Linked DNA regions of Saccharomyces cerevisiae S288C. The gene in region 3 interacts genetically with the main gene of each other region. Each region holds a gene or a part of one and is shown on either strand. Other genes may lie near its edges.

The links.
Region 1: mutations in POS5 (region 3) and HXT11 together harm fitness less than expected from each alone (positive genetic interaction), as found in Saccharomyces cerevisiae (one large-scale study listed by BioGRID).
Region 2: mutations in POS5 (region 3) and FAA3 together harm fitness less than expected from each alone (positive genetic interaction), as found in Saccharomyces cerevisiae (one large-scale study listed by BioGRID).
Region 4: mutations in POS5 (region 3) and ARO10 together harm fitness less than expected from each alone (positive genetic interaction), as found in Saccharomyces cerevisiae (one large-scale study listed by BioGRID).

What each region holds. Positions count from the first base shown.
Region 1 is NC_001147.6:21,885-29,449, forward strand, and holds HXT11 (hexose transporter HXT11), read left to right. Parts: upstream 1-3,388; coding exon 3,389-5,092; downstream 5,093-7,565. Other genes in the region: oligo-1,6-glucosidase IMA2, read right to left, coding at 641-2,410; YOL155W-A (uncharacterized protein), read left to right, coding at 5,200-5,334; HPF1 (mannoprotein), read right to left, coding at 6,819-7,565. UniProt on the Saccharomyces cerevisiae protein: Probable glucose transporter.
Region 2 is NC_001141.2:336,171-344,242, forward strand, and holds FAA3 (long-chain fatty acid-CoA ligase FAA3), read left to right. Parts: upstream 1-3,173; coding exon 3,174-5,258; downstream 5,259-8,072. Other genes in the region: ubiquitin-related modifier URM1, read left to right, coding at 6,366-6,665; NAS2 (Nas2p), read right to left, coding at 6,824-7,486; YIA6 (NAD+ transporter), read left to right, coding at 7,892-8,072. UniProt on the Saccharomyces cerevisiae protein: Activates endogenous long-chain fatty acids (LCFA) by esterification of the fatty acids into metabolically active CoA-thioesters for subsequent degradation or incorporation into phospholipids.
Region 3 is NC_001148.4:187,050-194,563, forward strand, and holds POS5 (NADH kinase), read left to right. Parts: upstream 1-4,356; coding exon 4,357-5,601; downstream 5,602-7,514. Other genes in the region: NAB3 (Nab3p), read right to left, coding at 1-676; COA2 (Coa2p), read right to left, coding at 1,258-1,464; GUP2 (putative O-acyltransferase), read left to right, coding at 2,105-3,934; MF(ALPHA)1 (Mf(Alpha)1p), read left to right, coding at 6,599-7,096; UIP4 (Uip4p), read right to left, coding at 7,463-7,514. UniProt on the Saccharomyces cerevisiae protein: Phosphorylates both NADH and NAD(+), with a twofold preference for NADH. Anti-oxidant factor and key source of the cellular reductant NADPH.
Region 4 is NC_001136.10:1,230,444-1,238,241, forward strand, and holds ARO10 (phenylpyruvate decarboxylase ARO10), read left to right. Parts: upstream 1-3,774; coding exon 3,775-5,682; downstream 5,683-7,798. Other genes in the region: GTPase-activating protein RGA2, read left to right, coding at 1-2,753; SDH6 (Sdh6p), read right to left, coding at 2,835-3,074; RNA-binding protein YRA1, read left to right, coding at 6,115-6,399, 7,166-7,561. UniProt on the Saccharomyces cerevisiae protein: One of five 2-oxo acid decarboxylases (PDC1, PDC5, PDC6, ARO10, and THI3) involved in amino acid catabolism.

The DNA.
Region 1 (7,565 bases), on a different chromosome or scaffold from region 3:
CAGCCATCCTCAGTTAGGAACGATTGATACAGCCTTCATTCGTCATTTCGTGACTTGCATGTTGGATTGGAAAATTTGCTGGCGGAGCAAAGTCAAGACGTTCAGAGGGAATAGTAAATGAGATTGTACGAACCGGTGAATATATTTTGCTGGCTAGATTTTAAATGGCCATTGTGTTATTGCTCTATCAACATAAAAGAAAGTATATGTGTTTTCAGAATCGTAAAATTTGTGACAAACTAAAAATCAGTATCTTCATAAAAGTAGTAGAGACATTTCATAGGTACGTTCCGCCCTTAGATAAATGTGGCTGCAGTTCATAATGCAGTGTGTAGTAGAGATGATTCTGTTGATCATAAACAATAATATATAATTTCACTAGTACTTGTTCTTATATGCACATAACTCGCCGTATTATCTGGCCAAATGAGCTATAGAGTAACCCTTCTCTCAGCATTATTATAATACAATACCAATGCAAGGACATATGGAAAATGCTACACAAAACTATACTTTAGTGTATTACATAACTCATACCGCACTACCAGATATATGTCGTTACTATTTAAAGTGCGGTATGTAACATAGATAAAAATAAGTATATGTATATGTATAAAAATCTTGTCGTCACAATCATCAATCATTCAGATATGTAAATTCTGCCCTCCCATGGCTTCAATGTTCTGGAAGACGCATCAACTTCGCTTCTTGGGTAGTTTCCGAATTCCAACTTAAACGACGAGCTATTGTTTGGAATCGTGAAGTCAATCGAATCAGAGCTGAAGTTCAAAGCAGCAAACAATGTTTTGTTGTCGTATTTCTTTGTGAAGCTGAACAGTTTCTTATTGTCCAAATCAATAAACTCAAAATCATATCCATATACAGTAATATCCTTGTGTGCCTTTCTAAATCTCAAGGCCTCCTTCCAGAAGTTCAAAACCGAGTTGGGATCCTTGGATTCGTCTTCAGCGTTAATTCCTTCCCTGAAAGACTCGTTCAAGTAAAACCATGGTTTAGCATTAGGACCAGAAAAACCAGCATTTGGCTCCTCACGAGACCATTGCATAGGTGTTCTAGCATGGTCTCTGGAAATAAGGGCAATTGCTTCCAAAAACCTCTTCATCTCCTTCGAGTTTTCTCCATGCTCTTCCTTGATCGCATCATAGTTATTTCTAACTTCGACATCCTCGTATTTTTCGATAGGCCAGTTCTTGAAATTGATTTCACCCAGTTCCTGTCCTTGGTACACATATAGAGTACCGCTCAGTGACACCAACAACACAGACAACAACTTACCAGAAATAACACGGTTCTTAGGAGAATCGTCACCAAATCTGGTAATTGAACGAGGTTGGTCGTGATTTTCCAGATAAATTGTTGACCAACAATCAGTTCCGTTAACGTATCTGAAAAGTTCAGCAAGGGCAACCTTCCAATCCTTTAGTTCATATGGGATCAAATTTTGACGGAACTTGGGCGAAGTCCCGACATCAGTGTGGGAAAAGTTGAATAACTCACTAAGTTCGTGTCTTGATGCACTTGTATACAACCTCTTGGTTTCATCAGTAGCATGTTGCATTTCACCAACTGTCATAATTTCTCTGCCATCCTTCACTCTGTTTCTGATGAACTTGTTCATTTCTTGATGAAACTCATGGATACGTGGTCCGTTCATTGTGAAAGGATCACTGGGTTGCCACTTTGAGTTTTCGTCAATCACAGGAGCGTCTGGTAGACCAGCAACCTTGGAGTACAAGCTTCCCACATCAATTCTAAAGCCGTCTACACCATGGTCTAACCAGTATCCAACGGCACTTTCGTAGATTGCCTTTCTACAGTCCTCATTCTCCCAATTCAAATCAGGTTGGGTGGAGCAAAACAAACGCAAGTAAAACTCTTGTGTCTTTTCATCGAACGTCCATGCAGAACCACCGAAGTAAGACCTCCAATTGTTTGGAGGAATTGGCTTGCCTTCGGCGTCATAACCCTTAGGAGGTCTCCAGAAGAACCAGTCACGTTTTGGATTGGTTTTTGAGGATCTGCTCTCTTTGAACCATTCATGTTCGCTCGAGCAATGGTTGATGACTAAGTCGGTGATAAATTTCATACCAAGCTTATGTGTCTTTTCGATCAAGGCAAAGCAGTCCTCGTTCGTACCGTAGGTTGGCCAGACCTTTTCGTAGTTGGCAATATCGTAACCCATATCATCTTGTGGCGAGTCGTAGAATGGTGAGATCCAAATGGCATCGGCACCAAGCTCTTTGATATACTCCAACTTGGAGGCAATACCCTTCATATCACCCCACCCATCGTTGTTGGAGTCTTTGAAACTTGCGGGATAAATTTGATAGATTGTGGCCTCTTTCCACCACTTGGGTTCTGTTTCTGGATGTGCAGAAGAAATAGTCATTGTACGTTGCTTTCTTTTCTTTATGAAAAAACTTTCACTTTTGTTTGTGTGTTTGGACTGGTGAATGGAACATATATTCTAGTACAGCTAATTCCTCGAGTGAAGAAGTCTTTCTTACTTATATATGTCTTTTACGTGCCTATGGACGTCTTACGAATGATCGAAAATAAGAAAAGAACAAAGTAAATTTAGGATCTGGAAGGAGTGCTGTATGTAAACGAAGCTTTCAGTTTTAGGTAATGTTTGCACAACCTACATGATATAACATGGTATGTTCTGCAAGAGCGTGCCTGGCCCTTGGCCCGTTATAGCAGATCATACCATCTGCAAGCAGACCCCATTATTGCACTGCCTCCGCAATCTTGCGTATACGTAGTCCCACGACAAAGTACGAAGCGTAAACTGACCTTGTTCAGTTCCCCACAAAAATTACATAACCATTTCTCCGCGGAATTACATAATCATTTCTCCGCGAAAATTACATAATCATTTCTCCGTGCGAGTTATAAGTGCTTTTCTCGTGCATCCCTTGGCACTTCACAAAACCTTCTTTTTCTTTTTTTTCTTTATTTCAGGGGAAATCAGTGCAAAACTAAAAAAGAAAGAAATTTTGTGAAATGTAAACTCCAGGTGTCAAAAAATAAATTATATCCGTGGAAAATCAGGCGTCGGAAATTGTAGATGAAACCGCCTCCTCCACAATAAATGCTGACCACACGAACAATGCATACACTCGGACACCTTCGTTCAAAGTATCAGTAGCAGTTCGACACACCGTATACTACTTAGCTCTTAAGGTCTAGGCTCATCTTTCTCAGTTCCTCTTTTTCGCTAATTAAAGGTATATAATGTCACAGTTGTGTAACTAGAGAAGAGCACACTTGTTCCTATCTTTTTCTTCTTCTTTTTTTGGTATGAGTTGAAAAAAATAATCATTGCACAATTTAGTTCTAAACGCTTTTGTTATTACTCAATATCATGTCAGGTGTTAATAATACATCCGCAAATGAGTTATCTACTACCATGTCTAACTCTAACTCAGCAGTAGGCGCTCCCTCTGTTAAGACTGAACACGGTGACTCTAAAAATTCCCTTAACCTAGATGCCAATGAGCCACCTATTGACTTACCTCAAAAACCCCTCTCTGCGTATACCACCGTCGCAATCCTGTGTTTGATGATTGCATTTGGCGGCTTCATCTTTGGTTGGGATACCGGTACCATTTCTGGTTTTGTTAACCTTTCTGATTTCATCAGAAGGTTCGGTCAAAAAAATGACAAGGGAACCTACTACTTATCGAAAGTAAGAATGGGTTTGATCGTCTCAATATTCAACATTGGCTGCGCCATAGGCGGAATTGTCTTGTCAAAAGTCGGTGATATATATGGTCGTCGTATTGGATTGATTACAGTTACTGCCATTTACGTTGTAGGCATCCTAATCCAAATAACTTCCATAAACAAGTGGTACCAATACTTCATTGGAAGAATTATTTCTGGCCTAGGAGTGGGAGGCATTGCTGTCCTTTCCCCAATGTTGATATCTGAAGTTGCTCCCAAACATATCAGAGGAACTCTGGTCCAATTGTACCAGCTGATGGGTACGATGGGTATTTTTCTAGGATACTGTACCAATTACGGTACCAAGAACTATCACAACGCCACTCAATGGAGAGTCGGCCTTGGTCTTTGCTTTGCCTGGGCTACATTCATGGTTAGTGGAATGATGTTTGTACCAGAATCACCACGTTACCTGATTGAGGTTGGTAAAGATGAGGAAGCGAAACGTTCACTATCGAAATCCAACAAAGTCTCAGTTGACGATCCAGCCTTGCTAGTTGAATATGACACTATAAAGGCAGGAATTGAACTTGAAAAGCTGGCAGGTAACGCATCATGGTCTGAACTACTCTCCACTAAAACAAAGGTCTTTCAGCGTGTTCTCATGGGAGTGATGATCCAATCGCTGCAGCAATTAACCGGTGACAACTACTTCTTTTACTACGGTACCACCATCTTCAAATCTGTCGGTCTAAAGGACTCCTTTCAGACTTCGATCATTATCGGTGTGGTTAATTTTTTCTCTTCATTCATAGCGGTATACACCATTGAGAGGTTTGGACGCCGTACGTGTCTATTGTGGGGTGCTGCTTCTATGCTATGCTGCTTTGCTGTGTTTGCCTCCGTCGGTGTGACAAAGTTGTGGCCTCAAGGAAGCAGTCACCAAGACATTACTTCTCAGGGCGCCGGTAACTGTATGATTGTGTTTACTATGTTCTTCATTTTTTCGTTCGCCACCACTTGGGCAGGCGGCTGTTACGTTATTGTCTCAGAGACGTTTCCTCTTAGGGTCAAATCAAGAGGAATGGCAATCGCAACAGCTGCAAACTGGATGTGGGGTTTCCTGATTAGTTTCTTTACCCCATTCATTACCGGGGCAATCAACTTTTACTACGGTTACGTATTCTTAGGCTGTCTGGTTTTTGCATACTTTTATGTCTTTTTCTTTGTCCCAGAAACAAAAGGCCTGACACTGGAGGAGGTGAATACTATGTGGCTGGAAGGTGTGCCAGCATGGAAATCGGCCTCATGGGTGCCACCGGAGAGAAGAACCGCAGATTACGATGCTGATGCAATAGATCATGACAATAGACCAATTTACAAGAGGTTCTTTTCCAGCTGATCTTCTAGTTTTCGGTAAATTGGTAAAAAAGCAAAAAAAAAAATTGACGAAACTAATTCTCTATTATACATAATGTTTTTACTTTTGTACCCTTTAATTTCTAATGAATGTTTTATGGAAGCTTCAATAAATGCGTGACTGGCTATAGTTGTCGGATGGCAATCCATTATTATGTATACCGTATTATTAAGAGTGCAACTAGGCCCGACTATAAATCTAACACTCAGATCCTTGTACTGTAATGCATATTTATTTTTTCACAAGTTGCATGCTAATAATACCATGATATTTTTTGAAGCCTTGAAAAATAGTTCAAGCAGCTACGATATCATGAATCAATATACTCATTGCAGCCTATGTAATATATATAGGTTCCGTGTTACCACTCGTTTCTGATATTTTCGATATGGCTACACTGGGTTTTTCATGATGGAAATGTGATACTACCAGTTCCAATATATTTATCTTCCTTATCTATATGACACGCTGTTATTTTAGTTCAAGTCAGTGTCCAATTGGGGTGAGTGTCACGTGCACAACGACGGTAGTCGTTGGATGTGCTAAATGATGTTCTACTGCCAATGACTGCAAATACGTTCGAAGAGTATAAAATCGAAGGAAACGAATTAAGTTGCCAATCCTTACTGTAACTATAGCATGTTACATATATGTACCATAAGTATCACATTAAGGTTTCGCCATAGCCATGTGCCTATATTAAATAGAAATATCACATGGCGATCCACGGAATGTTTATAGATTTTCTTCTTTTGTCTATGGCCCGGGCGAGACATTAATTTATCTTGCTGAAAAATTCGAAAGTTAAAACTCAATTATGCGTGGGATTTCTCAATTAGGTTACCAGAATTTCAATCTGCTGAAGAATTATGTCTTAAAAAAAAAAGTCCCGCCTCAAAAAAGCCAAAAAGGGTGTGACTGTAGATTGTGGGTTACTTGCTGTCAAATGACATGAAAATCTCTGCCTGCATGATCCCTGTCAAAATTCGAAAACACGCGGTCATAAAATTGTGCCTCAAAAAGATATCTTTTCCTGCGGGTTCTCTTAGTAAATGAGGTTAGGTTGTTTCCTATTCTTACGAGATTTCCCTTGTTCTCGCCGCTCACATCATTGTCGGTAAGATCTTCCGTAGTGGCAGGTCAAGCAGTGAGGAAGAAAGATCGGCAGTAAACTGATAAGAGCCAAACCGAAAAGTTTCTTATACGCAAAAACGCTTTGAAAATTCTCCAAGAATCCTATTTGAAACTCTTATTAATAAATAAAGTATAAATATAATAAAGTTTATTGTGAGACATGTCGCGATAAGCACCCCTTGTCTTTCTTGGAAGGGAGAAATTTGTAATATAAAGCCAAGTGTTCAGAACTCGATTTTTTTCTGACCAAAGAGCGGAAGCTCCACTATAAAAGTTGGGAGGTACTTTTAGGTTCTCTTAAGTTCGCATTTAATTATGGCCTGAACGATTTTACTGTGGACAATAAGTGAAATAAGTGTCCTTAAAATGTGTACGATGTGTACACATCAACCTAGTCTCCCCTTCATTGGCAGAAGAGGGAACCATTTCATCCAAAAAGAATAAAAAAAATAAAAAAAATCCAAATATTAAGCTAAAAAAATACTTAACTGTTTACACAAAGCGTATATAAAACGCATATTAAGAACCTATCTCGTTTCAGAGGAATAAACTTTTAATTCCTCAGTTAAAAAAATTAGTTAAAGAAAGCAAGAACGAAAATACCGACCAATGCATTCAAAGTATTGGCATTCAAACCTGCGGCAATACCCTCGGACTGGACAATGATACCAGTAGAGGTCTTTATTGGAGCTGCAGATTTGGAGTATGTGGAAATTGCACTAGAAGCCTTGGAAATGGCAGTAGTCAATGAGGTTGCTTTAGAACCCTCAGAAGTGACAGTAGTGTATGACTTTGGAGAAGCACTAGTTGCGGTGACGGTTGAAGTAGCTTCAGGTATTTGAGAGGTGATTATCTTGACGTTACAACCATTGTCATCACATTGAGTAACAGTGGCAGTAGTGTATGTCTTAGGGGCAGCACTGGTTTCTGAAGTTTCTGAAGTTTCTTTAGGAGCTTCAGAAGTGACAGTCTTGGTGCTACATCCATTGTCATCGCACTGAGTAACAGTAGCGGTAGTGTATGTCTTTGGAGAAACAGTAGTGGTTGTGGCTTCAGGGGCCTCAGAGGTGACAGTCTTAGTGTTACAGCCGTTGTCGTCACAGTGAGTAACGGTAACAGTAGTGTATGATTTTGGAGAAGTAGTAGTTGCTGAAGTTTCTTCAGGACATTCAGAAGTGACAGTCTTGGTGTTACAGCCATTGTTGTCACAGTGGGTGACGGTAACAGTGGTGTATGATTTGGAAGAAACGGTTTCAGTGGCGACGGTACCGGTAGACGTAGTTACATGACATCCGGTCTCATCGCAAGAAGTGATAGTGGC
Region 2 (8,072 bases), on a different chromosome or scaffold from region 3:
GTCTGTTGGCTTTGAATGAGACTCCAGAATTACTTTCGGCATTGTTTACTTGTTATCCCGATTTGTACCCAGGATTTACAGCTTTTAATTCATTATCTATGGTCAACTTTTGCTGTCTAGTTTCATATTTACTCGCTACCGTTTCACCAACTGTAGTCATCAGTTATGGTAAAAAAATCTCCGCGACGGGGAATTGAACCCCGATCTGGCACGCGACAAGCGCCCATTCTGACCATTAAACTATCACGGATTTGTTTCTATGAAAATTTCGTTTATTTGTATAGTATATGTTTTTTTAAAATATAATGAGAATCTGGTAGAAAAGTGTTGATAACTAGCAGTTTAAAACGTATCATTTGTTGAAATAAGTACCAACTATCATCCGTCGACTAGTACTCACACAACTATTGAGAAATTCGTAAGTTTTGTAAAACTGTTGGATACCGTTGCTGTTGAAGGCTATAGTAATAGGCATACAAAATTAGCGGAAGTTTACCTTGGAAATATATCCACAAAAGGGAAACGATATTTCCTCATAATAATATTGTAATTTCTTTTTCTTTTTATATGTTTCATTATCCTATACATTACCAATACTTGCATTTGAGCATTCATTAAATCTGATGGGTACATCTCAATCTTTCTGTCATCTTTTTATAGCATATATGGTAACATGCTAGTAGTATGAATACTAGTCGATATACGTAAATAAATTTTCATTTTAAAATGGATATGCCTAATCTGATAGATTCTATTAGCTGATTTTTCTACTACTTTTCATGTTCGTTTTTCAATAATTTGCAAGTTATATATCTTTGCCTCCGCTATACCGTGATGAAGGTTAATGCGTAAGTTGCAGGCGAGGCATGATATGGACCACAACCCAGTTCGAACATAAAGAACTGAAAAACCATGAGCTGTTTGATTAATTCAAAACAGCTGCTCACAATTTGGCCCAAGTTCAAACCTTTGTCTTTGAAGCATGGAACGTGCCGTTATTTTCATGCTAGTGTAATTTTTGCCTGTTTCATCCCTCCCATCAAAAAATTCATCACGAAGTGCTAAAGGAAAACAAAAAAAATATCAAAGAGAGGAGACGGCTTAAAAGCCCTTATTCAATTGAAGAAATCCCCTGACCTCTGCAAAAAATCTATCGTTTATTTTATTTCTTTGTCTTACGTAACAAATTTATTTTCTGGGATGATGTCAATTCTATTTGGCACGCGAGTCATCGTCTATATAAGGAGGTAACGAGGTCCTTGTATATTTGATGATCCTCACTATCAACACGTCGAGGGACGGTTGGTGACGAACTCAACTTATGTTATAGTTTTGGACCACTCTTTTCCTTGAAAAATTACAGGCATTATACGCAGTCCTGGGGCAGGAGCGCTTCGATCATTAGCATAACAGGATCACGGTTATCACCTGTTTTGTTATAATTCATGGCCTTTAGGTCATGACGTAAAATAATCGGAGTGAAAAAATGAAATCAAAGGCTATCATTTTTAGGGGAACTAAAGCACAAGGATTTGAAGGCGTAGTGAAATAATGAATAATAGATAATCTATGGACCGAACACAGACGTATTTAAAGACAATACAAGGCCATTAATTCCCTTCGGAGGGCTCCCGATGGGAGGATTCTTAGCATGCTCTTTCTAGCCAACAGTATCACTTTCATCAGAAAACGGAAGCCTCCAAAAAGCTACGCTAAACGCTTTTTTGTTTTGGATTATCGCAGAAAATTGGTGACATTCTTGATTAAGAATAAACGGTGACTAGCAAGAAAAGGACATGTCAGGTACCAGTAAAGTCCGATTTAAGATCAAATCAGCGCCTTTAAAGAATCTTGAGATCTTAGTAATCCCGATGGAAGGAAAGAGGTAAACAAACGAATAACTTAACCCTTAAGATGATTCTATACATAGCATGATCTATCCAAGGAACGACCGACGCCCTTAAAAGGGTTCTGCTCAGATTTCGTTAAATACCCGGACCATCGTAGATGATTGTTTTTACTCTCCCCTAACGATGTACTATGCCATAATAAGCATTTTTTTTTTCTTTCTTCACTGCAGCTCTGCTTTGAAAACACTACATCTAAGGCGCTGACGCCAACGCCCAGACTAAATCATCATATAATATCAAACGCCCAACAAAATATTAGAAATAGCTCAACAATAGAGCGCCAAAAGTTTACCGGAACGAACCATCATTGTTTACAGGCAAGCACCCATTTGGAAGGGTACGTAAACTAAATAAATAAGACAAGAAATTTTTTTTATATCTGGAATTTCCTTTGCATTTTAGTGATCCCACCATTACAGATAACTAAACCAGGATAAAAAACAAAAATAATGACATTAATGATACCTTAACTAACGTATAGCAAGCGAAGCAACCACCCATCAGATTTTTGTCCCCGTTTGGAAACTGGAATGCTATGACCACTTTTATCACTACAGCTAACCACTTGTCGGAATGAAGATACGAAAGAGAAATCTTTATTGGACCACTTTTTCTTTCGCTAGAGGTCCTACCTAGCGTATTGCACCCAAGTGATTATTGCGACCTCTGAGTGTCAGAAACTTACGAAGTAAAATTCATAGTTGTGCCTTTCGTCAAGAATCGGAAAGCGTAAAAATAGGCTACGGTCTTTGTCAAGGCGAAATTTTGGAGATTTCAGACGCATGATACCAGCAGTTTTTGGTAATATACTTTTTCAGGTAAAAGCTTTCTACGGCCACTGAAAGTAATGCAGAAGCTTAAGGCTACAGATGAAATGGCCGACCCAAACTAACCAAGCACAACATCAATTACAGAACCGACAATCGAAAATCCTAAAAAAAAAGAACATCGAGTGAACTTTTCGTTATCTCAAAGCTTTAAAGTTAAAAGTGGCAGAAGCCTTGGCTATTCTGTTTCTCTCTTAGATTCTCGCACGACAGCATCGAGCGAAGTTGCAAAACCATATATTTCAGTTCTCTAAACGATCTTTCCCCGAACTCCAATCGAAATAGACTTAACCCGCAACATAACTGACATTCTTCCTCTTTTTTTTTTTTTTTTTTTTTTTTTGCTATTTGCTTTCTGCATGCATAAAAGCGAGACTAGCGTATTAACACTTTATCACTTTCCCTCTCTTCCTGAAGCTGACATGAGCATACATCAATGTCCGAACAACACTCTGTCGCAGTCGGTAAAGCTGCTAATGAGCACGAGACTGCCCCTAGGAGAAATGTTAGAGTCAAGAAGCGGCCCTTAATTAGACCATTGAACTCGTCAGCATCTACGCTGTATGAATTTGCCCTAGAGTGTTTCAACAAGGGTGGAAAACGAGATGGTATGGCTTGGAGAGATGTCATCGAGATTCATGAGACAAAGAAAACCATTGTGAGAAAGGTAGACGGCAAGGATAAATCTATAGAAAAGACATGGCTGTATTATGAAATGTCACCATATAAAATGATGACCTACCAGGAACTGATCTGGGTGATGCACGATATGGGCCGTGGGCTGGCAAAAATAGGCATCAAGCCCAATGGAGAACACAAATTCCACATCTTCGCATCTACTTCCCATAAATGGATGAAGATTTTCCTTGGTTGCATATCCCAGGGTATCCCCGTAGTAACCGCGTATGATACTTTGGGTGAGAGCGGTTTGATTCACTCCATGGTTGAAACCGAGTCTGCTGCTATTTTCACTGATAATCAATTATTGGCTAAAATGATAGTGCCTTTGCAATCTGCTAAAGATATCAAATTTCTTATCCATAACGAACCTATCGACCCCAATGACAGAAGACAAAACGGCAAACTTTACAAGGCTGCTAAGGATGCCATTAATAAGATCAGAGAAGTTAGGCCAGACATAAAAATTTATAGTTTTGAAGAAGTTGTCAAGATAGGTAAAAAAAGTAAAGATGAGGTCAAACTTCATCCACCTGAGCCAAAAGATTTGGCTTGTATCATGTACACCTCGGGCTCGATCAGTGCACCAAAAGGTGTAGTATTGACTCATTATAATATTGTTTCGGGTATCGCTGGTGTAGGTCACAACGTCTTTGGATGGATCGGCTCTACAGACCGTGTTTTGTCGTTCTTGCCATTGGCTCATATTTTTGAACTGGTCTTTGAATTCGAAGCCTTTTACTGGAACGGTATTCTTGGGTACGGTAGTGTTAAGACTTTGACTAATACTTCGACTCGTAATTGTAAGGGTGACCTGGTTGAGTTTAAGCCTACTATTATGATCGGTGTGGCTGCCGTTTGGGAAACTGTGAGAAAAGCTATTTTGGAAAAGATCAGCGATTTAACTCCCGTACTCCAAAAGATTTTTTGGTCTGCCTATAGTATGAAAGAAAAGAGTGTACCATGCACCGGGTTTTTAAGTCGTATGGTCTTCAAGAAAGTCAGACAAGCCACCGGTGGTCATCTTAAGTATATTATGAACGGTGGGTCTGCGATCAGTATTGATGCTCAGAAATTCTTTTCTATCGTCCTGTGTCCTATGATTATCGGTTACGGCCTTACTGAAACAGTTGCGAATGCTTGTGTTTTGGAGCCTGATCATTTCGAATATGGTATAGTTGGTGATCTTGTTGGATCGGTCACTGCCAAATTGGTGGATGTTAAGGACCTAGGTTATTATGCAAAAAACAATCAAGGTGAATTGCTTCTAAAGGGTGCGCCGGTCTGTTCTGAATATTATAAGAATCCAATAGAAACGGCGGTCTCTTTCACTTACGATGGATGGTTTCGTACTGGTGATATTGTTGAATGGACTCCCAAGGGACAACTTAAAATTATTGATAGAAGAAAGAATTTGGTTAAAACCCTAAATGGTGAATATATTGCATTAGAAAAGTTAGAATCTGTTTACAGGTCAAACTCCTATGTGAAAAATATCTGTGTTTATGCCGATGAAAGTAGGGTTAAACCGGTGGGTATTGTGGTACCCAACCCAGGACCCCTATCTAAATTTGCTGTCAAATTGCGTATTATGAAAAAGGGTGAAGACATCGAAAACTATATCCATGACAAAGCATTACGAAATGCTGTTTTCAAAGAGATGATCGCAACAGCCAAATCTCAAGGTTTGGTTGGTATTGAACTATTATGTGGTATTGTTTTCTTTGATGAAGAATGGACACCTGAAAATGGCTTTGTCACATCTGCTCAAAAATTAAAGAGAAGAGAAATCTTAGCCGCTGTTAAATCAGAAGTCGAAAGGGTTTACAAAGAAAATTCTTAGAGAGAAGCTTATTACCTTCCCCTTCCATCTATGCACGGTGTCTCGTACTTCCATAGAGCACCGATTAGTGAATACTAAAACTATGTGCGTGATAAATGGTTCTCTTTTACAGATGCGGTAAATCAATTATTGATATACTACATAACATACAAACATGTTTCATTTCCGTAATACAAATTACAATTGTATAATTAAAAAATATAAAAAACTTCGTGATATGAAATCACATTTTGCTATTGAGTTTGCCACATGAGCGGTATACGAACTATTCGTTATTTTATGACTTTAAAAGCCATACCGAAAGTAGGCTTGAGAAGTATGACTACTGTAGGAGTGACCACTACTGTTAAATGCAGATAGCCGTCTTATGCTCTTCCCTTGTTCTTCTGAATTGGGAATGCATAGCTTGAAACATCAATCTTAATAAGGTCTTGTTTGTTTCTGCTTGGCTTTCATAGTAGCAAATAGTTTCGACCTTAATGTAAGAAATAAAAGCAATCGTTAATTTGAGTAAAGATAACCACTCTTCCTCTTCTACTATCAATATAATAAGAATAACGCTTATGGTTTATTTTAGCTTTTTTGAAAGCTAAACATTAAAAAAGAATAAAAATGCACGGCATACCTACATATTTTAAAAACATATATTTTATGATTGACTTTAGCAAAAGTTGGCGCTGGGTACTTTGAGACTCTTTCCTACAAAACGTTACCAACACTTGCTAGTCTAATCTAATCTACTTAATCAAGGTTTTAGTGGCGTACCATGTGACGGCCATCAAATGCCATCAGTTCTACAAGTTCACATATATTTATATATAACTATTCTCCTAACTTGTATAATATTATACCGAGACAGAGGATAGATTCAATTGATTTCACATACCGGATTATGTTCCTTCCCAAGTTCTCAATCTTATTTAGACTTTTTTTTTTAATTACATTGTCGCCCACTTCGGCAGAAAAAATATAACGACAAAGTAATGGCATCGCATCGACCTAATGAAATACTACTGGCAGACGGTATGGAGAGCTCAAAAATTCCCAAAGCAGAAAACAATACTGATTTCTGATACTAAAACGAGATAGGTTAATAGCAAAATCGGGATGGTAAACGTGAAAGTGGAGTTTCTAGGTGGACTTGATGCTATTTTTGGAAAACAAAGAGTACATAAAATTAAGATGGACAAAGAAGATCCTGTCACAGTGGGCGATTTGATTGACCACATTGTATCTACTATGATCAATAACCCTAATGACGTTAGTATCTTCATCGAAGATGATTCTATAAGACCCGGTATCATCACATTAATCAACGACACCGATTGGGAGCTCGAAGGCGAAAAAGACTACATATTGGAAGACGGTGACATCATCTCTTTTACTTCAACATTACATGGTGGTTAAAAATAGCAGCAAATAATTTTTAAGAAGCAGCTACATATATATATATAAAGTGCTGTACAGCTTGAATGAATCACAAGTTAGATAACGTAGGTAATATGCAGATAGTATAAAAAGTAATAGTAATAACTGGATTGGTTTTTTTTAGTACATGACGAAGATTATAGCTCTTGTATCCTACAACCCAAAAGACCTCTACCATTCCAGTTTCTCGAAGGTGTTAGCGATGTCTTTAGGATTTGCCCTTCTCTCAAGAGAAGGACGGGAAGTGGCCTGTCTTCATTTTTCATTACAACCATCTGAATGTTTTGAAGTTTAGAGTGGTTTGCCGCATGCACATTACCAATAGAAATCAGCTTATCATCAACCTTTATGTCTGCTTTATCTGAAGGGCTACCGGGTACTACCTCACTGATAAATGCAAAAGGGATGGTATACTGAATAGCTTGATCGTCGTTATTCCTTCTTGCATCTTGGTTTGACTTAACGTTCATATTATCAAAGTGCTGGTTTAGTAAGACGTGTGATCTTTGCAAAAGGTGATTTAAATCATTCTTCAGCATATTAACATTCTTTCTGATCATAGTGACTTGCAATACATCGACATCCGAACGAGGATACCCGTCTGGCGTCACCAACGCAGAGTCCATGCCGATGCCTTGCTGCTCAAGCACACTGAAATACGCCTCTAGTTGTGTCTCAATATCTGTCTTTAGAACCATCAATTCCGACAGTTTGAAGCTGTCTATTTGACTAATTCTTGATGTTAGGCTCGGATCTATCTTAACATTGGCCAACAATTTACTTAATTCTTCTTCCTCCATTGTAGTTCGTTCTTATTCTAATTCTTGCTCCTTTTTACTCTGGTGATAACTTTTCTATCTCTCAATGCTGAACATTTTTTTTCCCTTTATTATCCAATATTCCAACCGTTATAAAGTAAGCCTTATCGAACACAATCCACGGCGCACGCAAGGGACAGCAAATTTCGAGAATTAATGAATAGCCAGTAGTAAGATCCGTATTGATAAAGGTCATAGATCCCAACCTTTATGTGAGCCAGCCCGAAGGGCCCTTTAAATGACTCTCATAATATGGTCCAATAGCACCAATTTCTAGGGGTTACCCACCGGCCTAGTGCTTAATCGAATTCTGAAAAGAATCTCTACTACAGACTGCCAACCGTAATAGTAGTGAGATCAACACTGAAGGCAGCAGTCTTTAGCACAATGACACAGACTGATAATCCTGTCCCCAACTGCGGTTTACTGCCCGAGCAGCAGTATTGCTCTGCAGACCATGAAGAGCCACTGTTGTTGCATGAAGAACAATTGATATTCCCTGATCATTCCTCCCAACTGTCCTCAGCAGATATCATCGAGCCCATCAAGATGAACAGCAGTACTGAGT
Region 3 (7,514 bases):
AATTTAGCATGTTACTGTCCATAATGTACTTGACTTGCTTTTGTAAAAGATCGTAATTAACATTTTCCATATTAGTTGGAAAGTGAGTATTATCATTTTCTTCACGAGTTATTTTTTTTATAGCTTCATCTACGTCCTTTTGTTCTTTTTCCAATGTTTCACGGCGAAGTTCGACCTCTTTATCTTTGGTTTTATCCTTTTTGTCTTCCTCATCCTCACCGTCTTCAGCGGCACTATCTGAGCCTACCGAACTGTTGTCGTTGCCTTCTTCTTCTTCTTCTTCTTCTTCTTCTTCATCATCATCGTCGTCATCATCATCATCGTCATCATCCTCTTCTTCCTCTTCTTCCTCTTCATTATCATCATCGTCATCATCATTTCCGCCTTTTTGTTGATGTTCTTCTTCTTCTTCTTCTTCTGTGTTTATTACTTCCCCGTTTTCCTCTCCTTTTTCCTCCTTATCTTCCTCCTCTTCATCGTTCACATCTTCCAGTTCGTGTTGTTCTTCATTTTCCTCCTCCCTTTCGGCTTCTCTTTCTTCCTCTGGGGCGTCAAATTCGATTCCATCGTCTGCGCTTGAGTTATTCATCAATTCATTCTCGTTAGAGTTACTATCGACGGATAGTTCAGGTGAAGGAATATCTTGAACATCACTGTTATGGTTTTCATCTGACATGGCTTGCAGATGGTTATTATATTATGAAAGGACAGTCCGGGAAAAACGTAAGTCAATTATTATATTTTGACCAAAGAAAATCGCTTGTTGCTGTGCAGAATCTAATAAAGATGCTCAAGATAGCTTTTATTAGACCTTCATTTAGAAGTGGCAAAATCAAATGAATTGTTTTTTGTCCTTTGCTTCTTCCGCTTCATTTTCTCTTCAACAATTCAGGGTTACACTCAATCACGTGGGATACCATAATTTATCGTTCTACAAAAAAATGCAAGCACGAACTAGGGCGGTAGTTAGGAAGCGAATAAGAATAGCGCTTTTTCGTTTCAATTTGGAATATTAAAGAGTGATATTATTAATGGTTTTCTTTTTTGGAATGTGATCTATATACATATTTAAATAGTCTCTTTTGTATTTGTGGTGTCATAATGAAACTGCATCACACCAGATGCTTACCCATACAGAAAGTCGATTGATTATGAAACTTGAAGTAGCGAAGATTACGGCACTCGAAAATAAATAAAAAGAGGAAATAAAAGAGATAGAATACAACTTATCAAAAGTTCCAGATAGCCCGTACCTGTTTAAATCTTTTTACTTAAAGCATCCTTCCTCTTTAACTCCTGCTCATGAGCAAGCTGAAGCTTGTGTTGCTGTACAGCTGGTGAATCAGAATCCACTGAATGTGCTGGACATGGCAGCACAGAACCGATGGCCACTGATGCGAATGCAATGAGAAATGTAGAAAAGTATAGGTTATTGACTATTTTGTTTCTAGTGACTGCTCTCATGATATGTGTCTGAATTAAACTAATTGGCCTTCCGTGCCTGTAAATTCAATAAATAAATAGGATGTTAAATTTTCCTAATGTGTCTCGAGGTGCTTATGTTATCGTGCAAGCGCTGAGTTCGAAACGCTGTTTTGATGAATATCCTATATATATCAAAAGTACAAACACGGGGAAAGAGAGCCATCCCATCAAAAAAAATAAAAAAAGAAAACCCTTGCAGAAGGAGAACTGGTGTAGAGGTTTCCGGTCTTAATGGACTTAAGCACGTGACTTTTAAAACCCATGCATCGGTTACTATGGTTACCATTACTTACGATTTTTTTTTTTTCGTTATGAACCCTGTGCCCGAGGGGTTTTCAGGCACATAGATCAAAGTTCTACTCGTTTACCTGTAATCTTGGCGCGTTTAGGTCTCTTTTTTTTTCTTTTTTTTTTCTTCTTTTTTCATTTGTACTGCGTTATAGTTGTTTATGGAAGGTACCAATGGTGAATATGGAAAAAATGAAGTCAAATAGAAGAAGAAAGAGAAGCTAGCTTTGAGGTAGGTACTGTTTTGAGGGTTTTTGGGTGCTTCAAATTTGTCTTCTCAACTACCTTATTATAGGGCTCAAAAATAATTGACGTCATCGCTACAAGTCAGATGTCGATGTTAAGAATCTGGAGTTGCATCGTACATTTCTTTTCCGTGCAGGCACTTGATTCACGAATAAAGCCAGACATTGAATTCAAAAGGCGACAAAGGATATTTATCAATTCATCTAAAGAAGAGAATGGTTCATCTTCTAGTGCCGTTACTGTTACCCGTAACCCTGTGCTCAGCTCTAATAGCCCATCTCCTCCGCTATGGAATACATGGGAATTTAGACTATATTATTTGGCGTTCACCGTAGTAGTTCCTTTCATGATAAAGGCGGCATTGGCTACGAGCTCCGAGTCTAATCCAAACTACTATAAATTCAGCGGACTGCTAGCCCATGGTTGGATTCTGGGCCGCAAAGTGGATAACAGCGATCCTCAGTATAGGTTTTTTAGATCCAATTTTTTTTTGTTGGCCATCTTAATATTACTACAAATTATATTAAAAAAGGTTTTTGTTAAATTTAGTAAAATTCCGAAAACAAAATTCGATTTTGCGTGTGGATTAGTTTTTGTCTGTTTCATGTACGGGATCAATTCTGTTAAGCTCTTTACGCATGCTTTTATTTTCTTCACTTTGGCACATTCGCTAAAGAGAAAGCGTTTGATAGCCGCTTTTGCGATTTGGTCCTATGGTATCTTTACACTATTCATCAATCAAAAAATGAAAAATCTCCCCTTTAATAATATTGCTATCATCCTAAGTCCCATGGATCAATGGTATAAGGGTATCGTTCCTCGATGGGATTTTTTTTTCAATTTTACATTATTGCGTTTGTTAAGTTACTCCATGGATTTTTTGGAAAGATGGCATGAACAATTGAGCCGCCAACCTTCGATAGATTACGATGATAGACGACCTGAATTCAGAAAAAGTTTATCTGGTTCTACTCTACAAACCATTTATGAGTCAGGTAAGAATGTTCTGGAGGAAAAGGAACGACTGGTAGCAGAACATCACATCCAGGATTACAACTTTATCAATTTTATCGCTTATATTACTTACGCGCCATTGTTTTTAGTGGGCCCAATTATCACTTTTAATGACTACCTTTATCAATCAGAAAATAAGCTTCCTTCGCTAACGAAAAAAAACATAGGCTTCTATGCCCTCAAAGTATTTTCGAGTTTGCTTTTGATGGAAATTATCCTACATTATATCTATGTGGGTGCAATAGCAAGGACCAAGGCATGGAACAATGATACACCCTTGCAACAGGCTATGATCGCGCTGTTCAACTTGAACATTATGTATTTAAAACTTTTGATCCCATGGAGGCTCTTTCGGCTGTGGGCCATGGTCGATGGTATTGATGCACCTGAAAATATGCTACGATGTGTGGATAATAATTATAGTACAGTGGGATTCTGGAGAGCCTGGCATACAAGTTTTAACAAGTGGGTAATCCGTTACATCTATGTTCCATTTGGCGGGTCCAATAACAAAATATTAACGAGCTTTGCCGTATTCTCATTTGTAGCAATATGGCATGACATCCAATTACGAGTGTTGTTTTGGGGGTGGTTAACAGTCCTTTTATTATTAGGCGAAACCTACATTACTAACTGTTTTAGTAGATATAGATTCAGAAGCTGGTACAGGTTTGTTTGCGGTATCGGTGCTGCAATAAATATTTGCATGATGATGATTATTAATGTCTATGGATTTTGCTTGGGTGCAGAGGGAACGAAGCTTCTATTGAAGGGCATATTTAACAATTCACATAGTCCGGAGTTTTTGACTGCGGTAATGGTAAGCCTATTTATTGCTGTTCAGGTAATGTTTGAGATTAGAGAAGAAGAAAAAAGACATGGCATCAACTTGAAATGTTGATCTAGTTATTAGATAAGCTATGAAAGTCAATCCTTTTAATCGAGAATGTAAATATGTGGAATACACAATTTTAACCAAAGTACTATATATGCGTTACAAGTAATTTAAATTTAAGTTCACCGAAGTAAAACTAACTGCAAGATTGTTACAAAGAACAATGCACTATTTAAATCACACAATGGCTATTGAAAACTGTAACTGTCAGAAATGCTGCATGTATCTATATGCATCACTAAGTTGCGACTTTTAAGAAACTTCCACAGTTCTCAACTCTTCTTTGTGCTTTTCACACATTTTCACAATTTTCCGAAATCTCCAAATTGAAAAAAAAATAAAAATAAAAAAAGGCAGGAGAAGACTAAGTATTCATTATTCGCTGTTTCATAAATAAAAGGATAAAAAGGTTAAGGATACTGATTAAAATGTTTGTCAGGGTTAAATTGAATAAACCAGTAAAATGGTATAGGTTCTATAGTACGTTGGATTCACATTCCCTAAAGTTACAGAGCGGCTCGAAGTTTGTAAAAATAAAGCCAGTAAATAACTTGAGGAGTAGTTCATCAGCAGATTTCGTGTCCCCACCAAATTCCAAATTACAATCTTTAATCTGGCAGAACCCTTTACAAAATGTTTATATAACTAAAAAACCATGGACTCCATCCACAAGAGAAGCGATGGTTGAATTCATAACTCATTTACATGAGTCATACCCCGAGGTGAACGTCATTGTTCAACCCGATGTGGCAGAAGAAATTTCCCAGGATTTCAAATCTCCTTTGGAGAATGATCCCAACCGACCTCATATACTTTATACTGGTCCTGAACAAGATATCGTAAACAGAACAGACTTATTGGTGACATTGGGAGGTGATGGGACTATTTTACACGGCGTATCAATGTTCGGAAATACGCAAGTTCCTCCGGTTTTAGCATTTGCTCTGGGCACTCTGGGCTTTCTATCACCGTTTGATTTTAAGGAGCATAAAAAGGTCTTTCAGGAAGTAATCAGCTCTAGAGCCAAATGTTTGCATAGAACACGGCTAGAATGTCATTTGAAAAAAAAGGATAGCAACTCATCTATTGTGACCCATGCTATGAATGACATATTCTTACATAGGGGTAATTCCCCTCATCTCACTAACCTGGACATTTTCATTGATGGGGAATTTTTGACAAGAACGACAGCAGATGGTGTTGCATTGGCCACTCCAACGGGTTCCACAGCATATTCATTATCAGCAGGTGGATCTATTGTTTCCCCATTAGTCCCTGCTATTTTAATGACACCAATTTGTCCTCGCTCTTTGTCATTCCGACCACTGATTTTGCCTCATTCATCCCACATTAGGATAAAGATAGGTTCCAAATTGAACCAAAAACCAGTCAACAGTGTGGTAAAACTTTCTGTTGATGGTATTCCTCAACAGGATTTAGATGTTGGTGATGAAATTTATGTTATAAATGAGGTCGGCACTATATACATAGATGGTACTCAGCTTCCGACGACAAGAAAAACTGAAAATGACTTTAATAATTCAAAAAAGCCTAAAAGGTCAGGGATTTATTGTGTCGCCAAGACCGAGAATGACTGGATTAGAGGAATCAATGAACTTTTAGGATTCAATTCTAGCTTTAGGCTGACCAAGAGACAGACTGATAATGATTAAACGCTCTGAATGCAAAGATTCAATGAGATTCTCTAAGAATTCTATTGATAAGATTTAAAGGTATTTGACAAGTAGAGATCTTTATTTTTTCTTGCATTTTGTCTAGAGAAATCTCAACTGACATACTCGACATGAAATTTTTGGTATTGTGTCTTTTATTCTATTGCTTTAAGAAAACTGTGACATATAGGGAAGACATGCTTAACAAGAAGATATAATTATATAATATATATATTATTAATAATAACATCCTTACTGCAGTCCTGTTGTGGGAGAAAATGGAGAGAGACTATGTTTCGTATCAATTCCTAAAATCAAAAAAAAAAAAAAAAAAAAGTTAAACAAGCACTCGCTGTTCATTTGTTTTACAAGTATTCATACTCTAATAGGTCATTGAGCTTCTTTTCTTGAGGAGAGATCCAATTTGAAGTCGGAATAAGATTTGCTTTCATTAGCGTAGGCAATAATTATGAGATAAATGGTGCAGCACTATTAAGTAGTGTGGATTTCAATAATTTCCGAATTAGGAATAAATGCGCTAAATAGACATCCCGTTCTCTTTGGTAATCTGCATAATTCTGATGCAATATCCAACAACTATTTGTGCAATTATTTAACAAAATCCAATTAACTTTCCTAATTAGTCCTTCAATAGAACATCTGTATTCCTTTTTTTTATGAACACCTTCCTAATTAGGCCATCAACGACAGTAAATTTTGCCGAATTTAATAGCTTCTACTGAAAAACAGTGGACCATGTGAAAAGATGCATCTCATTTATCAAACACATAATATTCAAGTGAGCCTTACTTCAATTGTATTGAAGTGCAAGAAAACCAAAAAGCAACAACAGGTTTTGGATAAGTACATATATAAGAGGGCCTTTTGTTCCCATCAAAAATGTTACTGTTCTTACGATTCATTTACGATTCAAGAATAGTTCAAACAAGAAGATTACAAACTATCAATTTCATACACAATATAAACGATTAAAAGAATGAGATTTCCTTCAATTTTTACTGCAGTTTTATTCGCAGCATCCTCCGCATTAGCTGCTCCAGTCAACACTACAACAGAAGATGAAACGGCACAAATTCCGGCTGAAGCTGTCATCGGTTACTTAGATTTAGAAGGGGATTTCGATGTTGCTGTTTTGCCATTTTCCAACAGCACAAATAACGGGTTATTGTTTATAAATACTACTATTGCCAGCATTGCTGCTAAAGAAGAAGGGGTATCTTTGGATAAAAGAGAGGCTGAAGCTTGGCATTGGTTGCAACTAAAACCTGGCCAACCAATGTACAAGAGAGAAGCCGAAGCTGAAGCTTGGCATTGGCTGCAACTAAAGCCTGGCCAACCAATGTACAAAAGAGAAGCCGACGCTGAAGCTTGGCATTGGCTGCAACTAAAGCCTGGCCAACCAATGTACAAAAGAGAAGCCGACGCTGAAGCTTGGCATTGGTTGCAGTTAAAACCCGGCCAACCAATGTACTAAGCCCGACTGATAACAACAGTGTAGATGTAACAAAGTCGACTTTGTTCCCACTGTACTTTTAGCTCGTACAAAATACAATATACTTTTCATTTCTCCGTAAACAACATGTTTTCCCATGTAATATCCTTTTCTATTTTTCGTTCCGTTACCAACTTTACACATACTTTATATAGCTATTCACTTCTATACACTAAAAAACTAAGACAATTTTAATTTTGCTGCCTGCCATATTTCAATTTGTTATAAATTCCTATAATTTATCCTATTAGTAGCTAAAAAAAGATGAATGTGAATCGAATCCTAAGAGAATTCAACAGCGTAAAATACAAAGAGGATAACGACAACGAAAAAAAATACACTCCCTGATTATGATGCCTCTGAGCTTGACATTTTCGTTGTCAACCAAGAAAACCATGAG
Region 4 (7,798 bases), on a different chromosome or scaffold from region 3:
CCAATTGTTTCAGATGCTGTCGGTGCAGCAACCGTATAAAGAACTTAAAGTATGCAAAGACAAAACGAGGACTATGTTGTATGGATTGTCACGAGAAATTGTTGAGAAAAAAACAACTATTACTGGAAAATCAAACAAAAAATTCATCGAAAGAAGATTTTCCCATAAAACTTCCTGAAAGATCAGTCAAAAGGCCCTTGTCACCCACCAGAATAAATGGTAAGTCAGATGTCAGTACAAACAACACCGCAATAAGTAAGAACCTTGTAAGCTCGAATGAGGATCAACAGCTCACTCCACAAGTTTTAGTATCACAAGAAAGAGATGAATCATCGTTGAATGACAATAATGATAATGATAACAGCAAGGACAGGGAGGAAACATCTTCTCACGCAAGGACGGTTTCTATTGACGACATTCTGAACTCTACTTTGGAACACGATAGTAATAGCATTGAAGAGCAGAGTTTGGTGGATAATGAGGACTACATCAACAAAATGGGTGAAGACGTAACCTATAGGCTATTAAAACCACAAAGAGCAAATCGAGATTCCATAGTGGTAAAGGATCCGAGGATCCCAAATTCGAACTCGAACGCGAATAGATTCTTTTCAATTTATGATAAAGAAGAGACAGACAAAGATGATACAGACAACAAAGAGAATGAAATCATCGTCAACACACCCAGAAATAGCACTGATAAAATTACAAGTCCTTTGAACAGCCCTATGGCTGTACAAATGAACGAAGAGGTCGAACCTCCGCATGGACTGGCATTAACTTTATCAGAAGCTACGAAAGAAAATAACAAATCATCTCAAGGTATTCAAACGTCAACTTCCAAATCTATGAATCATGTCTCCCCGATTACAAGAACCGATACCGTAGAAATGAAAACATCAACCTCTTCATCGACATTACGTTTGTCTGATAATGGAAGTTTCAGCAGGCCTCAAACAGCAGATAACTTATTGCCGCATAAAAAAGTAGCACCCTCTCCAAACAAAAAACTTTCAAGATCGTTTTCTTTGAAGTCCAAAAATTTTGTTCACAACCTGAAAAGTAAAACTTCGGAAATGCTGGACCCAAAGCATCCCCATCACAGCACTTCTATACAGGAATCAGACACTCATTCTGGCTGGGGTGTTTCCTCTACTCATACAAATATAAGAAAATCAAAAGCCAAAAAAAATCCTGTATCAAGAGGCCAAAGTGACAGTACAATATACAATACTCTACCACAACATGGAAATTTTACAGTACCGGAGTTTAATCACAAAAAAGCGCAAAGCAGCCTTGGCAGTATATCCAAAAAGCAAAATTCTAATGATACAGCCACTAATAGACGCATAAATGGTTCATTTACAAGTTCAAGCTCGGGGCATCATATAGCAATGTTCCGTACGCCGCCTTTGGAATCAGGGCCATTATTTAAGAGGCCATCTCTGTCATCTGAGTCCGCACACCACAGATCTTCTAGCTTACAGACGTCTAGATCCACTAATGCATTGTTGGAAGACGATTCCACGAAAGTGGATGCTACTGATGAAAGCGCTACAAGCTTGGAAAAGGACTTTTACTTTACTGAGTTGACTTTAAGGAAGTTAAAATTAGATGTGAGGGAACTAGAAGGTACGAAGAAAAAATTATTACAAGATGTTGAAAATCTAAGATTAGCGAAAGAGAGGCTGTTAAATGATGTTGACAATTTAACAAGAGAAAAGGATAAGCAATCTGCATCTTCCCGGGAGTCCTTAGAACAAAAAGAAAACATTGCAACATCAATCACTGTAAAGTCACCAAGTTCAAATTCCGACAGAAAAGGGAGCATATCTAATGCCAGTCCTAAACCACGCTTCTGGAAAATATTTTCAAGTGCTAAGGATCACCAGGTAGGCGATCTAGAATCACAGCAACGTTCGCCAAATTCATCTTCAGGCGGAACGACAAATATAGCACAGAAAGAAATATCATCACCGAAATTAATTCGAGTACACGATGAGCTTCCTTCTCCAGGCAAAGTACCACTGTCGCCAAGTCCAAAGAGATTAGATTATACGCCTGATGGTTCCCATTTATATGGATCTTCGCTACAAGCTCGATGTGCGTATGAAAAAAGTACTGTTCCAATAATTATCAGGTGCTGCATTGATCGCATTGAAAAAGATGATATAGGCCTGAACATGGAAGGCTTATACAGAAAGTCGGGCTCACAGACTTTGGTTGAGGAGATCGAAAATGAATTCGCTCAGAATAATTCGTTGCATAGTGATACATTAAGTCCCAAACTGAATGCTTTACTGAATCAAGATATTCATGCAGTGGCTAGCGTATTAAAACGATATTTGAGAAAACTACCAGATCCAGTTTTATCATTTTCCATATACGATGCCTTGATAGATCTAGTTAGAAATAACCAACTAATTGAGAGGCTACCATTAAACAACGACAAGTTTTTGGATTCACCACAAAAAGTGACTATTTATGAAATGGTGCTCAAAAGCCTACTTGAAATTTTCAAAATTTTACCCGTAGAGCATCAGGAAGTATTGAAAGTATTGGCAGCACATATCGGCAAAGTTCGAAGGTGCAGTGAAAGAAATTTAATGAACTTACATAACTTGTCGTTGGTCTTTGCACCGAGTCTTATCCACGATTTTGACGGCGAGAAAGATATTGTGGACATGAAGGAGAGGAATTATATCGTGGAATTTATACTTGGAAACTATAGAGACATATTTAAGCAAGCATAATACAGATTTGCAAAAGTTAAATAAACATAGGATAGATTAAATAAGAAATCATATGAAAAAAGAATAAAGTAAGAAAATAGTTCAATGTATATTCGTCAGTTCAGGGTGTGAAAAGGTGGCAATTTTTTTGTTTCCGACCCGTAACAAGTGTTCAATGGTGGTGAAGTCTTTTCTTGGCAAATTTCTATACTTCCCAAATTCTTCATGAATATAATTCACAAAATTAACTTGGTTTTCCTTTGGTTTTGTATGAGCCGTTCGTATGGAAGCCCTATACAGGTGTAAGACTTCTTTTTGTAACCCACTTAATCTCTTAGGCATGCTCTTGGTATTGCGTCTCCTCTTCTTCTTGTGTGTTTAAGCTACATTATCTTTGTTAAGAATAATTTGGCGAACCCCTTTTTTTCTTCGGCTTTGCAAGGTTAATTAATTAACATCTACCAGTTTTACTACATTTTAGATTGGTTCGTCCACCGAAATTTAAAAAAGCAGGATTGAAAGCGTACAACAACGTCTTAGCGAAAAAGATAATCCAAAATTCGATGCTTGTACACCTCATGTAGCTTCCTTATTAACATTTGGTAGTAGGCTTAGGCTATTTTTTGAAAAAGCCGTCATATATTACTTTGAGCCTTTGCGAATCCTCTCCAAAGTGTCGGTTACCTACCGGGAGGGATAACCGCGGATAGCCGTCATTTACCGAAAATTGCCGAGGTCATGCTGAGCATTTGTCGTACTTTTGTGCGGCGGAGCTTTGATACCTTCGGTAAGTGTCGGTATGTAATAGGTTAGTGGCATCTTATTTATTGTGTTGAGTAAAGTTTAAGATATAAACTGGGCTAGTTTGCATCGTCACTACAGCGGCAGCTCACTTTCATTTTTTTTCTGCGTTTATTAATACTACATAAAATCTGATATAAAACATATTTAACTGATCAACCCTCTCAACTTGATACTCAAAACAAGTTGACGCGACTTCTGTAAAGTTTATTTACAAGATAACAAAGAAACTCCCTTAAGCATGGCACCTGTTACAATTGAAAAGTTCGTAAATCAAGAAGAACGACACCTTGTTTCCAACCGATCAGCAACAATTCCGTTTGGTGAATACATATTTAAAAGATTGTTGTCCATCGATACGAAATCAGTTTTCGGTGTTCCTGGTGACTTCAACTTATCTCTATTAGAATATCTCTATTCACCTAGTGTTGAATCAGCTGGCCTAAGATGGGTCGGCACGTGTAATGAACTGAACGCCGCTTATGCGGCCGACGGATATTCCCGTTACTCTAATAAGATTGGCTGTTTAATAACCACGTATGGCGTTGGTGAATTAAGCGCCTTGAACGGTATAGCCGGTTCGTTCGCTGAAAATGTCAAAGTTTTGCACATTGTTGGTGTGGCCAAGTCCATAGATTCGCGTTCAAGTAACTTTAGTGATCGGAACCTACATCATTTGGTCCCACAGCTACATGATTCAAATTTTAAAGGGCCAAATCATAAAGTATATCATGATATGGTAAAAGATAGAGTCGCTTGCTCGGTAGCCTACTTGGAGGATATTGAAACTGCATGTGACCAAGTCGATAATGTTATCCGCGATATTTACAAGTATTCTAAACCTGGTTATATTTTTGTTCCTGCAGATTTTGCGGATATGTCTGTTACATGTGATAATTTGGTTAATGTTCCACGTATATCTCAACAAGATTGTATAGTATACCCTTCTGAAAACCAATTGTCTGACATAATCAACAAGATTACTAGTTGGATATATTCCAGTAAAACACCTGCGATCCTTGGAGACGTACTGACTGATAGGTATGGTGTGAGTAACTTTTTGAACAAGCTTATCTGCAAAACTGGGATTTGGAATTTTTCCACTGTTATGGGAAAATCTGTAATTGATGAGTCAAACCCAACTTATATGGGTCAATATAATGGTAAAGAAGGTTTAAAACAAGTCTATGAACATTTTGAACTGTGCGACTTGGTCTTGCATTTTGGAGTCGACATCAATGAAATTAATAATGGGCATTATACTTTTACTTATAAACCAAATGCTAAAATCATTCAATTTCATCCGAATTATATTCGCCTTGTGGACACTAGGCAGGGCAATGAGCAAATGTTCAAAGGAATCAATTTTGCCCCTATTTTAAAAGAACTATACAAGCGCATTGACGTTTCTAAACTTTCTTTGCAATATGATTCAAATGTAACTCAATATACGAACGAAACAATGCGGTTAGAAGATCCTACCAATGGACAATCAAGCATTATTACACAAGTTCACTTACAAAAGACGATGCCTAAATTTTTGAACCCTGGTGATGTTGTCGTTTGTGAAACAGGCTCTTTTCAATTCTCTGTTCGTGATTTCGCGTTTCCTTCGCAATTAAAATATATATCGCAAGGATTTTTCCTTTCCATTGGCATGGCCCTTCCTGCCGCCCTAGGTGTTGGAATTGCCATGCAAGACCACTCAAACGCTCACATCAATGGTGGCAACGTAAAAGAGGACTATAAGCCAAGATTAATTTTGTTTGAAGGTGACGGTGCAGCACAGATGACAATCCAAGAACTGAGCACCATTCTGAAGTGCAATATTCCACTAGAAGTTATCATTTGGAACAATAACGGCTACACTATTGAAAGAGCCATCATGGGCCCTACCAGGTCGTATAACGACGTTATGTCTTGGAAATGGACCAAACTATTTGAAGCATTCGGAGACTTCGACGGAAAGTATACTAATAGCACTCTCATTCAATGTCCCTCTAAATTAGCACTGAAATTGGAGGAGCTTAAGAATTCAAACAAAAGAAGCGGGATAGAACTTTTAGAAGTCAAATTAGGCGAATTGGATTTCCCCGAACAGCTAAAGTGCATGGTTGAAGCAGCGGCACTTAAAAGAAATAAAAAATAGAAACTTGTGGGCGCAATTATAAAACACTGCTACCAATTGTTCGTTTTCTGTTCATTAACACATAAAAAACCCTTATGTAACTATATTTACAAAGTAAATACGTATATTAAAGCTATTTTACCACTACCACAGAGTTCTTTGTCCAGTTGCTAGTATTTTTTTTTTCGCGACGAGGCAGGGGCGGGGAGACGTGTTGTTTTTCCACGGCTTTCGGCTCACCACTTGAAGAACTATAAAAGGCCGCCAAATTTATCCTTTTTCACTTCTTCCGTTCGCTTTTTTCTGTCATTCCTATCGTGTGTTTAGTAGTAGGTTTTTTTGTTAGAAGAAGTTTTATCCGAAAACTATCGAAGACAAATAGATAAAAAAATCTCCCTCGTTCTATTTGAAACTTTAAGAAATCCATATTAAGAAAATACCTACATCTGCTAAATGTCTGCTAACTTAGATAAATCCTTAGACGAAATCATTGGCTCTAACAAAGCAGGAAGTAATAGAGCCCGTGTCGGTGGTACTCGTGGTAACGGTCCAAGAAGAGTTGGTAAGCAAGTTGGTAGCCAACGTAGGAGCCTTCCAAACAGAAGAGGCCCTATCAGAAAAAATACTAGGGCACCTCCAAACGCAGTCGCTAGAGTTGCCAAGCTCTTGGACACCACTAGAGAGGTCAAGGTCAACGTCGAAGGTTTGCCAAGGGACATTAAGCAGGATGCTGTAAGAGTATGTTAATACGTGAAATGAGAGCTATTTGTTTAGTTACTCGCATCGTCTCGTGTGGATACGAGAAATATTCTTTGTAAGGAAGGATATGGCACACGCTTTTGATCAAGAATTCTCTTTTTAGAGATGAAGAAAGAGTCCGAAATACTTCGCTAGAGAAAATACAAAAAGAGTATCGTTTTCATAAGCCAACCATACCAATTTTTTTCAATACTTCAAATCATGGCCTATAAGGTTGGAATTACCAGCTACCACTGAGAATGGGTTTGTTCTTATTGGCTGGGTTAACTCAAATCAATCTGACTATCTGCTAATCTGTCAATCTTACATTTTTAAGCTGGCGTATTGTGTCGCCTCGACCGTGATAGTTAGTTCCTATTTTTAATAAGCGTATCATCCAATACTGAAGTTGTGGAAGGATCAATTAATTTTGTATCCTTTCAAGAGGGAGTAGCTTTCAGTTTCGAATGGCACCATTTTCAAAAAATAGCTATGGGAAACATGTCTTTCATGAACGTTCGAAAAGATATGAGTGCATCGCTTCATTTTTTTATTATGATAGTTACAAAAATATTTGATTTGAGACACCTAATGAAACCAAAGAGGAACTCACCCATCGTGGTACATGTTTATTTGAGGGTTTATTTTTCCTACGCAATGGTATACTTTTAATACTCTCAACTCCTTGATTGTTTGTGTATTGTCCCTTCCTTCTTTGATTTTATATCATAGAGATATATGACTAACTTTTTTTTTTTTATTATAGGAATTTTTTGCATCTCAAGTAGGTGGTGTTCAAAGAGTTTTGTTGAGTTATAACGAAAGGGGCCAATCTACTGGTATGGCTAACATCACATTCAAAAACGGTGAATTGGCCAGAAGGGCTGTTGAAAGATTTAACGGCTCTCCAATCGATGGAGGCAGATCAAGATTGAGACTTAACCTAATCGTTGATCCAAACCAACGCCCAGTCAAAAGTTTAGCCGACAGGATCAAGGCTATGCCACAAAAAGGCGGAAACGCTCCAAGACCAGTAAAGAGGGGTCCAAATAGAAAAGCTGCTATGGCAAAATCCCAAAACAAACCAAAGAGAGAAAAGCCTGCTAAGAAAAGTCTTGAAGATCTGGACAAGGAAATGGCGGACTATTTCGAAAAGAAATAATTAATTGTCAATTTTTTGTTTGATTTAATTTGGTTTTATTAAATTTAATTTTTCCGAGTTTCATTATGTATTAGTTTCCAGAAAATTTAAAGGATTAAAAAATGTATTAATAAAACTTTGATATGTTTATGTAATAATATTTACCACCGCCACTAGGTGACGCTAACCTACTCATCGGTGACGGCTTTTCTCACTTTTAAAGTTTATTCGGCATATTTGACTCATAATATGTCACTA